Lepisosteus oculatus: one gene and its partner. The protein of the gene in region 2 binds, or shares a complex with, the protein of the main gene of each other region. Links are inferred from orthologs where the notes say so. Each region holds a gene or a part of one and is shown on either strand. Other genes may lie near its edges.

Region 1 (7,641 bases), on a different chromosome or scaffold from region 2:
CAAACAATTTAAGAATGAAGAACGTCAGAACCTTACATGTCCTTTTTTCTTTCCTGTTGATATACCTAATTTTTAAGCATTTGTGACCACTTGAACTTGCAGTTATAAGCCTTATATCTGCCCTCATTCTGTTTCCATATCCTTCCCTGACCCTCATTTCCCCCTATTTTCCCATGATCATGCAGCCATTTCTTGAAAGATCCCAGCTCATCTGCTCTAACAACAAGGCTGGGCAGTTTGCATGACATACCTATCCCATAAGACACAGACATTTACAATACCTTGTGAACCTTAAAACTGCCTGTGATGTGAACTGGAACATAAATGATTTTTGGAGTACTACATAAAATATTTTAAGGATTCCTAAACACAGGAAAATGATTCAGATTTTGATTTAAAAAAATGTTGCAGCAGAAACCACAAGACACGATTCTTCATTGGTAAAGATTATAAATAGTATTAACATTTACGGCCTCACAATGCGGATGGGCGGTATTGGTGAACCCTCCTGCTTATTTCCGAGGCCACTTCAAAAAAGCGACAGAGGAATGGAAAGAAGTGAGTGTGTTAAAGGAAACTGAAAATACTGTAGTTAGCAAAACTATGAGAAGCAATACAGATATGTATTTGTGGATATATTTAAAGAATCATATATTATATTCTGTATATTATAGAAAATGATAATGTAAAGGATTATACTAACGATTCTATGTATATTTTTTTGAGAGGATGTTTGAGGTCTTGACGTCTAGGAGCGCTGTTTGAAGACTTGGGTTCGTGACAAGCTTAAGAAAGTGATTCAAACGAATCACAATATATGCAGAATTATGTACCTACATCACTTTAACAGCAGACTATCCCTTGTTAAGAAAGCTTTCTCATAACATGCTATCTCCAAATCTCATTCCAATAAGCCCAGGGGGGAAAAAAATGATATTTTCCGATTGTTGTCCCTATGATAGATAGAACTGTGTGATTACATCCCATTACGGAGGAGAGCTCTAACACCCACCAGTGAATCTGGCAATGGCAGGACTAATTGGATATACTGTTTGCATAAGTTCATCCTGCCCTAGCCACTGAGCGCAGCGGCAATGTCGGGGCTCTGGAGAGGAACGGAGAGGCGTGTGACGCAGAGTCCGGAGCTGCGCTGTCTTCGGCGGGGGTGGGGTGGAGACAAGAGGCGAGATCACTGCCTGCCCAGCACTGACAGCAGCGGAGCAGACGCCGACGCAGTCAGAGACGGTAGCTGTATGGTACAAAACCATTATACCCTTTTCTCTTCTTCCTAGGGACCGGCTTTATGATTAAGCTACAATCTTCAATGAGTAAGCATATCCCTGTAAGTATCCCTCTTTTTTTAATAAAAGATATCTTGTTTTTTTTTCTAGTCCTTATCCTACACTGTGATACAATTTGGCTACATTGTGGCCTCTTTTCTAACTTGCCATTATTCGCCAGCGTGTCTTTCTTAGGGGGAGGGTAAATTCTGTCGGTTACATGTCACACGTTTTTTATGATTTACTTATCGCTGTCAATGTATGAGTGCGTGGTTGCGAATTTAATACTGGTTTCTTGCGCTGGTTGTTAAATGAATGCCGGCGCGGATCGTGAAGGCACGCCTGGGCAAGACCGCCTACTGCATGCCTGGGAACGGGTTCCTAGGGCAATTTCTCATGGTAAACAGTTTAATTTAGCAAATGCTTCAGTAACTGTGTTGCATATGTCGTATGCAACATATGCTGGGTGCTGTTTATTATGCTCATGACGATTTATAAAGACGATTCCGTTTTCAAGACGCATCTTAATCGGAGTCCAGTGATTAGGCCTCAAACGACAGAGGCAGAAATTACAGGCTACACAAAGAGCTGCATTCGCCCGCTCCCTCCCGATGTGTCGGGTTTATGTTAGACCTAAGTGCTTCTATTCTGTACATATCTGGTTTAACCTCACAAAACACGTTTTTATTTTTTTCTGATTCCAAACATGAGAAAATAGCCATTTTCTCCCTTTTACAGCAGGTATGGGGTGGTATACCCGCCCGGTGCAATCGGTTCATTGATTCCCCCCTCTTTTCTCACCCTCGTGTATTTTGTGTGTGTGTGGGGGGGGTTGGGTTAAAAAAAAACATAATCGGCGTGTACAAGTAACATCAGGAAAATAAAACTGAGACATAGAACACTAAGGGAAACAAATCGCGTTCGGGAACATGGTGGCGGACCTGCGCGGCTCCCGACTGGAAGCCTGTTTAATCCAGTTCGGTCTCAGAAGTAGGGCACGGGTTTGCCCTGGATCTCCCGGTTTATCATCGGCGCCGGTGCCCGGTACCGCGGGGGCCAGCAGCCTCTCTCTGTATGTAGGCATTTGAGCCGCGGCGGACGCCTTGAATTTGCCCCGAGAAGGAAATTATTACCACAGTGGGATATGCTACACAGTAGCTAAATTGTACATCAAGTGATGCTTCGGGATACGTTGCGCTACAGCGAGGAGGCGGAGCGGGGGGATTCAAGCAGGAACCTGCTCACAAAATGGCCTTACAGGAACGTGGTCGAAACTGCTAGTGCTGTAAATAATTAGGGCTCCCCTCTGATTTAAGCTTCCTGTTAGTAGCTTATAGGAAAGGGAATGTCGAGTTTTCCGTGGAGGGAAATTTCCGCCAATTCTAAACATTTTATTAGCATTGGATTGTCAAAGTAACACTTGTTTCCACGATAAGGGTGTAGATTTTAAAAAAATACGTTTAGCTTTATCAAATATTAAATATTTAAAGTCGTGGCTTTAAATAAGGAACGCACGGTTAAAAAAATCCTGAAGCGACCCTTTCCGTTTTTACGACTATAACTAACCGGTGCTAGCAGGGAGAGAGAGAGAAAGCAGCTCTTGCGCTGAAATCCGTTGCTCCCTGAGCGGGCGGCCTGGTCCAGTGAAGTGCGCAGCGTCACTTGTGCCACTACAGGTGGACGCCATGAAGTCATCTTGACTCTTAAACCATTTTTTCTTTCATCTGCCAACAGATGTAATCACATGATATTAAGAGTCGCTGCTCAAGGCCTGATTCATATAAAAATGAGCCTTATGTCGAGTGTAGAAAAATGTTTTGCCGTCTCATGACTATGACTCATTGATGCTCATCTGATAGATTCGTTGTGTGAAGTCCCTTTTGATTTGAATGCAGAAGTCTTACCTGCAACCTGTTTCCCCTGAATTAGCTGGACAAAAGTGTTATTCACAGCACAGAGGTGGCTGGCTGATACTTCAAACCTTGCCCATAACTAATATAACTTTTTTTTTTAATGGTGTGCATAGATAATTATTTTTTCTTTCCCAACAGCGTAGGTTAATTTTAAATGTAGCATGGTAGTGTTTTGAGGAAGTGCAGGTGGAGAAAGTGTGACCGGGAAGCATGGCCCAGATGTAACAAGGCAGATGTCTCTCTCAAAGGTTTTTACATAGTGCTCCTCTCTCGGGCTAGGTGCTCGTTCTCTTAGATGTTTTTTCTTTTACAAGTGACGTAGTAATTATCAGTCCTAGAAATATGTACAGCCACATTTCAGATCTTGCACATCAGTTGTTGAAGCGTGGGGCACTATAGTCTGAAACTGTTCCATGTGTTTCGGGAGTATTCACAGGGACTCCTCAATGTGATGCACAGCCAGGAGGTTAAGTGCTCACGAGAATTGTATTAACAGTCCAGCTAATCACTGGCATATTCTGGTCTCTGATTCTGTGGTGCCTTTGCAATAAGTATTGCTAAGCAGTGACTGAAAGAGGTTAGGACTTTAACAGAGGTTTTTAAAGTAGATATGACTTAATGGTTGATACTTGGTTTGTAATGGTAAAGATCCTGTACACTTTACAAATTCTTTTGCTGAAATACAAATGACTTTGTGCAAAATGGTAAAAACAAGTTATTTTAAGGTAAAATATGCACATACTATTCTTGTTACAATTCCATTTTATGTCTGAAACCAAAAAGATTTTTTTAGACAATCATGGCTGAAGAACACATGCTTTACTTCCACGCTTCCCCATCATCCTGAATAGATCTTAATTTGTTTAGATATTTAAGTATTTATCTTCATTTTCTTCCATCTTATTCACCTGTTGGAGGTTAGCCGTACTTCAGTTTGCGTACTTGCAGAAAATGCCAAATGGTCTATAAAATAGTGCATATGAATCATGGTTGTGTGATTCAAGTACTTTTTAAGTGTTCATTTTGTTGAAGGTTTATTACTATGCAACTGGGACATTTAATGACGCAGCACATTGAGAAAAGCACAATAAAGCAAAGCTGAAGACTTGGCTTTTATAGCCACAGGTGTAGATTATGATTTGTTACTTGCAATTCAGCACAGTTTTCTGCCTTCAAAAATGTTTTAAAAAACAACAATCAAAGGAGTTCCAGCTTTTTGATTTGTATTTGCAACAGTTCAGTCAGGATAAATGTCACATTCAACATATCATCTTTAGAAAGTGTTTAGCAGTGGGGTCGGCCAGGGTTCCTGTGAACACGTGTTAACGCTTGTTCTGGTGGTTTCTCTTGCAGCAGTTCTGTGGTGTTCTTGGTCACACATTTATGGAGTTTCTGAAGGGCAGTGGAGACTACTGCCAGGCACAGCACGGAGTCTATGCAGACAAGTGAACTCTAGAAATTCATTACTACTCCACACAGAAACCCCCTTAGGAGCTGAGGCGGCGCTGATAACCTGGATAAGAAGCATTGAATAGTCCCGGCAGAGCACTTGTCTTCACAGAGGAGCTCGAACCTGGATGGGGTAACCTTTGGTGCACTGCCTTCTTTGTTGGCTTCAGTATTACTGGAATCAAGAAGATCTGCTGCTTTTTATTTAGTGATCCATTACCAGCCACCTACCCCCAGCTTATTTTCCTAGACCTCATCTTTGCAGAGGAGAGAATTTCCAGTGGAGTACAGTGAAAGAAAAAAAAGTCTTTTTTCCCATATATCCACGTCAATTTGTATTGGATATTTTTAAGCATTTTTTGTTATTATTGTTGTTCTTTATTAAATTTGTACAAAACCTTTTTTAACAATGGCCCGAATGAATCGCCCTGCCCCTGTGGAAATCAAGTACAAGAACATGAGATTCCTCATCACCCACAACCCCACTAATGCCACTCTGAACAAGTTTATAGAGGTGAGTTCCGCACACCATCAGAAAAATATCTGTGACACCCATGATTTATAGAAAGAAGAACTGTAGCTTTACTCTCCATAATATAAACCAGTGATCCTTTTTCCCATGTATAGATTGAATCCAGTTTTTTTAATGACGTTTATAACACAATTTTGGGAGGGATTATAGCAGCCAATTTCCATCAGCCTTGGCTGTCAGTAATTTGTAATAATTTCCTGACAGTATTGCCTCACCTAAAACATTATAAACACTATGCTTAATCCCCTTCTCCCTTAAATATATTACATTAAATAGATATGATACAATTTTTTACGTTGAATACAGGGGCTTGCTGGAATGTTTGTAATCTGTAGCTCCTCAGTACTTGGTCGTTAAAGATTCCATGGCACTTTTCATAAAAACCTAGCGGTTAAATTCCACTCTTTTTTCCAACATTTTCTTAAAGTTCCCCCTTAATTCGGCTGGTAAAGCAGTTTCTCCTTTCTCCACCTGATCTGTTGTTTGCCTAGTGTCACATAGTGTGTCCTTAAAGTCACCTCTGCTTTAGTACCAGATGAAGTAGGTTCCACTTCTATATGGTATTAAAAATTAGTTTTGACTTGAATGCGATTTTGACTTGTTGCTTTGTTTTAAAGGAACTGAAAAAGTATGGTGTTACCACGGTGGTGAGAGTTTGTGAAGCTACCTATGATACATCTCTGGTGGAAAAGGAAGGCATTCAGGTTTTGGTAAGTGCTGAGCAGGTTCATTTATTGGGAATATCCGGTTCCATTTTCCCACTTGGAATCCATGAGTTCAGGTGAAAAAGATTAGTGGTGGGTCTGAATTAGACCAATGCAACAATTAATCCATTTGTGCTTTATTTCATTTGGTAAAATGAATGGAAACTTCAGAGTGGTGACGAATGTTGGGAGAGGGATAGTTGGTTTGTTAGATTAGACTTGACATTTTCTTTTTCCTCAACACTGCCACGTTTCTATGCAAAAACTATATAATCAAGTTCAAGGTAACTGCAACAGCTGCTTTTAAAATCAATTATTTTGGTTCTCTGTATTTTGTTCTGTTTCAATAATCCTGTTAGAATAACTTTATATTCAGATAAAATGTATCTGAGCATTAAGGTTCAGCTTTGGCTGAAATTCTAGCCTGTTCTCATCAGACATTGGAAGCTAAGCCAAGCTGAACCTGGTCAGTACTGGCTGAGAAACTAAGGAAAATCAAGTTGGTCTTGAAGTGGTGTTGGTGGAAAATCAGAGGTGCTCTTCTTTCCTCACCGAAAAGTGGTGACCAGGAACACGTTAGGAGAGCTGAAGGAGGCGCCATCTTCTGATGAGGTGTTAAGCCAAGGTTTCTTTTTACTCTGTCATTTAAAGATCCCATGACATTCCATGGCCCGGTTGTTGAACTCATTTACCTGTGTGCAGGTGGGGCTCTAGAATTGTGGGTTCAAGCCTGTGGGTGATGTCACTAGCTGACTGCCAGGGGGAGTTTCTTAACAGCGCACTGTGGTGCACAATCGACTGAGTGCTGTCAAGGTTATGGCAGGATTAGTTGACCGGGGTGCGATCACTGCCATCACTGATCTCTGCAGCCTTGTACTTGCTAAAATTTTCTCAGTCTAGCCTAGTTTACCTCAGTTGTTGAAAGTTGTTGCCTCACTTCTTTGCCTAATCTGCTGTGTGGTGGGACTGTTGGCCCATAAGGGCTGCTCTGTGACAACCAGGTCGGAACTGTACTTCAGAGGTCGATGGAACATGTCCCTCATGGATGAGAAGCACTTTAGAATCCTTAGGGGTGAAAAGCACTTTATAAATGTGAGGAATTGGTAGAATTTCATGCTTTTCTGCTCTGAATGTTTTCTACAGGATTGGCCATTTGATGATGGAGCCCCACCTTCCAACCAGATTGTCGATGACTGGCTGAACCTCCTGAGGGCTAAATTCCGTGAGGAGCCTGGCTGTTGCATTGCTGTCCATTGTGTAGCAGGACTTGGCAGGTGTGTTTTGTCTTCATTGTGTTGCTCTTTGAAGAGCAGCCAATATGAAGTAACATTTATTTTGTTACTAATCTTCCATCCACTCTTTTAACATCTCAATTGGCAAAACAAATGACCTGTTCTAAGATGATTCTTCCTTTGGAAAGTTTATTGTAGCTATTGTTTTTATTGGTTCTAAAAAACGGTTTAGTTAATGATAGAGGTGTCATTTACATGTCTTTATTTTACAGAATTTTTTTATATGTTGGCAGCACATAATTTGAGAGTCAGGCTTAAAATCTTAAAAATATACAACACTTTGGTAAATGTTGTTGCATATGTTTGAAACAGTACATGACCCACTTTAATACTGAAGAAATATCAAGTCTTAGCCAATTTGAATTAAGGGGAGGAGTATGTACATTTAATCAATATATTGCAGGCATTTTGCATTATAATTTGGTCAATGAAATGACTTTTTTTTTAATTTCTGTCCAAAATTGCTTTCCA
Region 2 (7,638 bases):
GAAGACTAACAAGCATTAACCAAACAAAACATTTGCCCTTTCTGCAAATCACTGACATCGGAATAATATTATTTCATTTGTTTTACAGGTAAAAACAAGTTGGATGGATAGCTCATACTAGACAATATTTCATTGAAACGCCCACGTGTAACGTGTGTATCGTGTTTTAGAATACAATAGGCGTTTGGAGCTTCATCGGGAGAATGAAAGAAAATATAACAACTACGTTTGATCTCAAAAATGCTATTTTGAAATCAGTAGCGGTTAGAATCAGTGCAGTTGATTTTTATTAACGGGTTTTTTTTCCCCAGTGCCACCTGCGCAATAAAATAAACCGTTCAGGCGGCCATCAAGTTGCAAAACGCCGTAGAAAAATTAGATAAGGCCTGCGAAATTTCAATCTAACTGGGCGACATTTAGATAGATAAGACTTTATTGATCCCGTAGGGAAACTGATGAATATATACATATGTTTTATGCGATTTGGATCCACGACGATCCCATCGTCCGCGTGATTGCGATTTGTGCATATCGGGTCGTGGCGGTAGCGTACAGGTAATAAGTGTTTGGATCAATTCGCCTTTGAACACAGTAGATGCGATGGGTACACCTCGGACTCAAACAGCAATCTGATGAGCCCGTGAATCGCTGAGCAGGCAGCACTGGTACCCTCTGGCAGCTCAGCCCCCACAGTGCCTGCGCCCGGTCCTCTCAGCCAGCGTGTGGGGCACTGCACCGCTGCAGCACCTGGCGACCTGCAACCCGCCACACGTACTTTCCACAAGCCACAAGAGCGGATGAAGACAAAAACAAACAAACAAACAAACCCCCGACGGGAATGGGCATAATTTATTCACCCTCCCGACAGGACTGCGAGTGGCAGGATGCAAGATGCACTGTTGTTTGTTTACCGCATGAAAATGCGCAGCGCTTTGCCATCTGAACACCGGGGAAGCAAGAAGTGCAAAAACAGCAAAACCTCATACAGAATCCTGGTTGATATACAGTAGATCGCGATAAGTGTCTGATGTTCCAAATCGGGAACCAACCTTTTTCCAGAAACCGAACTACTTTCGGAAATACTTGTGAAAACACCTTATAGACAGCCGCATCATCAGACCGCATTTATTCCCCATGGTAATCAGGGAAATAACTGTACATTGACATGTCCTATGCCAATCTCACGCTCAGTTATGACAAAGACTCGGCGCACTTTATCAGAGCACTCATCACTAGAAGTGTTACAACTCAACCCTTGCCAAGGTGAAACATTAAAATGCAATAAATATCTGAAGGAGGTAAACAAAGTGAGTGAAAAAAAATACTGCCCCACCTTTCTTGAATTCCTCCAGCATGGCATCCAGTTTGGTGTCATTGAAAACAAAATGCAAGGGATGGCTATAGAACTTGGTGATGGTTTTCAATGGTGTGCTGTCGTCCGGGTCGACAAAGGCCAAGTCCTTAACGAACAGAAGGTCCACAATGTTAGATCTCTCCCCTTCGTAGACGGGGATCCGAGTGTACCCACTCTCCATGATCTCAGACATGGTGTTGAAGTCGAGGATGGCGTCGGCGGTGATCATGAAGCAGTCGCGCAGGGGAGTCATGACATCTTCCACGGTCTTAGTCCTGAGCTCCAGGGCGCCCTGGATGATGTTGAGCTCCTCTTTGACCAGGTCATTGTAGGGATCTGTGACCCTCAGCATCTCCAGGAGCTTCTCCCTGTTGTACACCGTGCCAATCTCCTGCCCCAAGACGCAGTCCAAGAGTTTGCTCACGGGGTACGACGCAGGAAAAGTGAGCAGCATGAAAAATTTGGTCAGAAAGATGGTGTTCGCACCTACAGCCAGACCGTGCCGGGAGCAGATCGCCTGGGGCACAATTTCGCCAAAGATCACGATCCCGATGGTGGACACCACCACAGCTATCAACCCCGAGCCTGCGATGTCATCCAACAGAATGGTCAGGGTGGTGTTCACAAGCACGTTCCCCAGGAGCAGCGAGCAGAGCAGGTAGTTCCCTTGACTCCGGACCGGCTCGATTTTCTTGGCGTAGTTCTTCTCCTTCTCCGTGCCGCAGTTCTGGACGATGCGTAGTTCCATGGGGTCCAGCGCCATCAGTCCCAGGTTCAGCCCACTGAACATGCCCGAGAGACAGAGCAGCAGCGAGATGAAAATGACCTGCAGCCAAAAGGGCAGCAAGAACTTCCTCTCCTCCACCACTATCACTTTCGTGTCCTCTCCGTCATGGTAGATCCAGGTGGTCTCAGTCCATGGGTCGTGCACGCCAGACACAGCAGGTGTTGGCATGGCAATGCACAAGTAGTAGGCTTTGCTCTTCTCCGTTTTCCGCAGAGGCTTAATTTCAATTTCCACTATGCCAGAAGTCTTTCTATTTAAGACAATATTGGGCAAAATTATAATATCCGAAGTCCTAATGCCACAGGGATGATAGCTTGAGGTATCCTCTTTGCTCTTATTATCCCTAGTGGTGCTGTCAATGTTGCCAACGACTTTGCTCCGCTCATGCTCTGTAAAGGCGATTTTGGACCACGTCTCGTTGTTAATGTTTTGCCCATAGACTCTCAGCTTGACCCGGGTCCTTTCGCTGACCCGCAGGGACCCCCCGTCCATAAAGGAAACGTCGTCTGTGTCTTCTAGTCTGAGCCCAATGATAACCGTCTCTTCTGCCCCTTCCTCGCCGCTGGACAAGCTCACCAAACAGCCGCTGACTGTAAAGAATACCAGAGCCAGAACTCGGACCCGGCTGAGCGCCGCCATCTTTAAAGTGGGCACTGTGGCCGAGCGCTCTGCCATCTTGATTGTGGGCAACCGCTTTTAAAAGAAGAGGGCTTTTAAAAATCACAGCCAATCGGAGTCCGCCTTCATCTCCTCTGCGGGTTTCCTTGACTCATGCATCAGACCTGTCTGCTCCCACCACGCGTCTCCAGCTCCTCTGACCAACAACACAGCGGAGCAAGCACAGTATGAACTCGTGTTCCTCGTGATGCCCAAAGACGGGCGGCCCCCGCACCCAATCAACTACCGATTTTATAAGGAGGCGGGGTGTTTTCCGAGGCAAAAGCCAATAAGAAAAGAAAACAAACATATGGGGGCGGAGTTACTGCCCAGGGCCGTCCTCGTGACTTATTTTGACGGAGGGTTGAAGGCAGCAAATAAGGTGTAGGAGGGGGTAGGTCTGATGAAGGGGAGGGGATCTCGGCAACCAATGAAGGTGTTGTTCCTGCCCACTTCCTGAAACATCCGTCAATGAGACAGGCGTGAGACTGCAGGTGGATAACAGGTGCAATTATGATAAATAAGGGCTTTAGAGCCGTTTTAAATTGAGAGTAGTTTTACTGTGACTTTTCACAATAATGAAGCTTCATGCTAGTTCTTTCTGCAAAGATGTGTGATGACCTAATACATAACTTCAATGAAATCCCCTTGAAAGCTAGGAAGAAAAAAGGCCATCAGTAACGACGTGTGTGTTTTTGCTGTTAAGCATCTCACCGTCTACGTTAAGAGCAGTTGGTTGTGTTTTGTTTTATTCATGTGTTTAATGTTCGCATAAATCTGTACCTGTTCTTTCTTCCAGTTTCATAAGGGAATAGTAAACTGACGTAATCCCTTCGTTTTTCCTTTCGGCAGTCGGTAAACATAACACATATTGTACATCTTTCGGTCACCTTGACATCCAAAATACCTAAACTGCTGTAATTCTGAGAGTAATGTAGGTGAATGGTAATATTACTACCGGTAACACACCGACTACCGGACGTCACGTAGCATACCAAACGCCGATTACATAAAACGTTTCTAAGTAAAAAAAGAAAAGAAATCAACATCTTGATAAGTAGTAGTGGTTGTCTAAACAAAATGTTCAAACCTACGCTTTAGACGTTAAGGATCCTAGTATCTTGGGTTCAGCTACAGCTTTAAAGAAGGTGCGGAATATTACTTTGTAATCTTTGTAGATATTAAACACAGGTGCCTTTATCTTTGTATTTTATTGATTAGTTAATCATCAAACAATTTAATAACAATGCACTAATTCAAACGTCCGTGAGCAACACTCATAAAAACAAAACATCAACCGCCTGGGATAATCCAGGCATCTGTATTTTAATAACACATTGAACTGTCTGAGGTTTAGGCTATCTTTCAAAGCAAATTCTAAAATAAAACATGAAAAAACGAGTTAATGCTATAGTTAGAAGTGTTATAAAAAAAGCGCTGCACGAGTGTACACGCATAAAACACCACGTCAGTAAACAATCACTCAGTAAATTGACCAAATAATACCAAAAGTAAAATCATACATGAAAAGTTTAGTAAAAAAAAGCAACGGATACATAGTCTCCGATTTTTGGCAGTGAGTTTTAAAATCGTGGTGCTCTGGCTTTCATCGTGTGAGCCTGGCCGCAAGTAAAAAAAGGAAGACCTGAATCAGCACATCTCAGATCAAGTGTTGGACTATACTCAAGCAATAAAAGTCCTAAAGTAACCTTGAGCGAGACCGTTCAGTGCCTTATATGTAAGCAACAGAACATTAAAATCCAGTATAAATAGCACAACAAATTCCTTTTTATAAACATATCAGCGAACACTGAAATAGATCAGATTAGATATCTTAAATCTTCCTCTGAGAAGCGAAACTTCCCCAAACGTGTGAAGGGGACGCTGGCGGAGACCCAGGGGCGTGGCCTCCGAACTGCGGCGCTGAGGGGGCGTGTCAAAGATAACACGGGGCGTGGCGATGGCATGAGCAGCACGTGTAGCAACAAATTCCTCACCACTCTGACCCGAAGCAGCCCCGAGTTGTGCCATTTCAAAGGGTTTTATGGAATCAATCACCCTCAAACCGTTTTGTAGTTTGTCTATAAACGTTTTTTTTTAAATAGCGCAGGTATTTGTAAGTTTTAACATGTCCTGCAGCTTTATTTTAGAGTCCTCTTCGCACATGTTCTCAATGTGCGTGATTCTATTTCTGCAGAGGCCAAAAGAATAATCAAGCAATTAAAAATAGCTTATACGTCTACATTTAAAGTAATTTAAATTAAAATATATATATTAGAATCAATATTTTTACCAAAAAATTCTTTTTGAGATTCCTCCCGCAAAAAACGAAGAACTCATCAAATCACTAGTAAAGGAAAAAGAGAAACAGAGGAAAACTGCATCAAGAAGTGAGTTTATTTTTAAACAGGATAAAATATATACCTTTGAAGGGATGTCCTGCGGCCATAACTTAGGAGGAGGTAATCCAGTACACTGAGGGAAAAAGTTGCTTGAAGTTAAAAGAGTGTATGAAGAAAACTGGTTAGTACAAAAATCTCTAATATCTTTGTAAACCTGGATGTCCATCCATCCATTTTCTAACTGATGTAGCCATTATAGTGTTTGGGGACAGCTGGAGCTGAAGCCTATTCTGTCCAGCAACAGTTTTTGAACTGGGAGACGAAACTGGAGCACCTAGAGGAAACTACACAAACCAGGAGACAACACACAAACTCCACGCAGACAGCACCCTAGGTATTGAGCCAGGGCCCAAGCTCCCACTACCTTTTGTATAACAGACAACATGCTTCCATCCGCTCTGCAGTCTAGAACATTCCACTGCTCTGTTGAAAAAAGAAAGTCCAGAAACGGATCTTTTCTCAATGGTTTGACAAACAGGTTTTAATGGCAAATTGTCGTGTGCCATTTTCGCCCTCTTGTGACAAATGGTAGTACTGCATAGACACTCTGGCCTATATTTAGAAAAGGCATTAATTATTGAATACTGTATTATAATTAACGTAAAAATTAAGTCTTTAAGGGGGGTTCAGTTTCTCTCGGTTGTCATAGAAGGGCTGGGGTTTCTGAAGTACAGACTGAACATCACTGAACACGCAGAGCGGATGGAAGCATTGGCGTGGTGGCTCTGTGGCTGAGGATCTGCGCCTGTGGCTGAAAGGTTGCCGGTTCAAATCCTGCAGCCGGCAGAGGAATCCTACTCTGTTGGGCCCCTGAGCAAGGCACTTAACCCCAAGTGCTCCAGGAGTGCCATATAAATGGCTGACCCTGTGCTCTGACCCCAAGCTTCTGTCCCCGACTGTGTGTTTCATGGAGAGGAAGATGGGGTATGCCAAAAAAAAGACAAATTAATAATACAAGAAATTGTATATGGCCAATAAAGTGATCTTATCTATCAGTGACAAAAGCAAACTTGCTCACCACATTACAGAAAAACAATGAAAGTGAAAGTGTTGGAAAAATCATGAACCAATAAAATGTGAAATGCATAAAAAGGATGTTTTAAGCCAAAAATAACCAAAACACACATATAGCAGAGTATTGTTTATTGCCTTGTTCAGTTCAGCCTTTTGCACAGAGGATTAATGCAATCTTATAATTATAGAAAATTATTCTGTTTGTTCATTCGAAGGAAAGGATCACATTAAGAGGCACCCTTAGTGAAATATACATTGTATATTAAATGGATACAAGTGATCACTAAATATAAAATTAAACATAAGCAGGAAACAACATCTCTGAAGAAAGATATTTTTAGTTGGCACCAAAACAGCAAACTTTCCTAACTTATACGCAAGGTAATGTGTATTATGTATACCCACCCTGCTCTCTGTGGGTTTTTATAATTTAGTCCCCAGTATACAAGGCTACACATGCAAACTTTTTTCAAATGAGCACTTTCCCCTTATGACAATTCAAGTCCTTGACTACACAGACAGAAAACATTTACCATTACCAGAATGAAACTGAAGTAAAAATTAAAAACCACAGAAGTAAAAAACATAAAACAATCTATTTTCTGGAACTTGCTTTGCTGGGGCAAATCTGATTTAAAAAAACAACAACTTTTTTTTCTTTACTGAACATGAACCTAAGGTCATGCAATTAAGGTGTGCATGCTGTGTTACAATTATCTTCAACTGGTGACACTTAGCCAAGCCGACATCTTTTTCACAAACTTGGTTGCTTAGAGAATCATATTTCAGACTGAAGTGTAACAATTTACATTTCGGTGGCAAAAGATTGAAAATGCAGCACAATACATGATCTTAGTCCTTGTCAAAAACAACATTCTAAATTCTAGATGTTTACAATCACAAGTCACAACATAGCCTTTGGATACAGGAACAGACTCATTAGTTATTTCTCCCTTCTATTTGTTCCGCAGTGTCCAGATGATACATTCAGGCTGGCCGGGTGGACATGAGAGAGATGGAAACATCATACCTGGCCTCGGAGATGAGCTTGTGTCCTGCAGAGCTAAGGCACGCACAGGAGAGCTGCAGTGCACAGCAGGAGACAGACACCGAAGAGAGCCTGTGCCGGCCTGATGCACTGGTCACTGAAGGGAGCTGCTGTGGCAAGCAGAGGGCAGTCCTGCCTGCACTGCATTGTGCCGTAATCGAAACACTTTCATTCCAAGGTGTTGTTATACTTTGACTGTAAACATGGCTCTACTGCTTTGACACTCATTTTTCGGTGGGGGGGTGTGTCAGCAGCTGCTGTCTGTAGCTCTTTTTACATGTCTCATATCTTTTTCCAAAAGTGCCAAAAGTGATGGCTACAGGATTAAGTGGATGAGCCAATCCAGAGCTCATACAGTACATGTCCATATTATCAC

What was found. Proteins that work in one complex are often made in the same cells at the same time.
Region 1: the proteins of cnnm2b (region 2) and ptp4a1 are in contact, whole or in part, in a crystal structure (PDB 5MMZ), measured with the Mus musculus proteins. The link is inferred for Lepisosteus oculatus from reciprocal best matches to the Homo sapiens genes CNNM2 and PTP4A1. Residues at the interface, in NP_291047.2 of Mus musculus: Phe526, Asp528, Val551, Asn553, Glu556, Gly557, Asp558, Pro559, Phe560, Tyr561; in NP_035330.1 of Mus musculus: Asp72, Gly73, Ala74, Gly107, Leu108, Gly109, Arg110, Arg137, Arg138, Gly139, Ala140, Phe141, Asn142, Lys144, Gln145.

Annotation. Positions count from the first base shown.
Region 1 is NC_090712.1:20,374,915-20,382,555, forward strand, and holds the start of ptp4a1 (protein tyrosine phosphatase type IVA 1), read left to right. Parts: upstream 1-4,641; 5' UTR 4,642-5,051; coding exon 5,052-5,156; intron 5,157-5,791; coding exon 5,792-5,884; intron 5,885-7,021; coding exon 7,022-7,152; intron 7,153-7,641. UniProt on the Homo sapiens protein: Protein tyrosine phosphatase which stimulates progression from G1 into S phase during mitosis. May play a role in the development and maintenance of differentiating epithelial tissues.
Region 2 is NC_090699.1:36,009,697-36,017,334, reverse strand, and holds the start of cnnm2b (metal transporter CNNM2), read right to left. Parts: upstream 3,010-7,638; 5' UTR 2,817-3,009; coding exon 1,334-2,816; intron 1-1,333.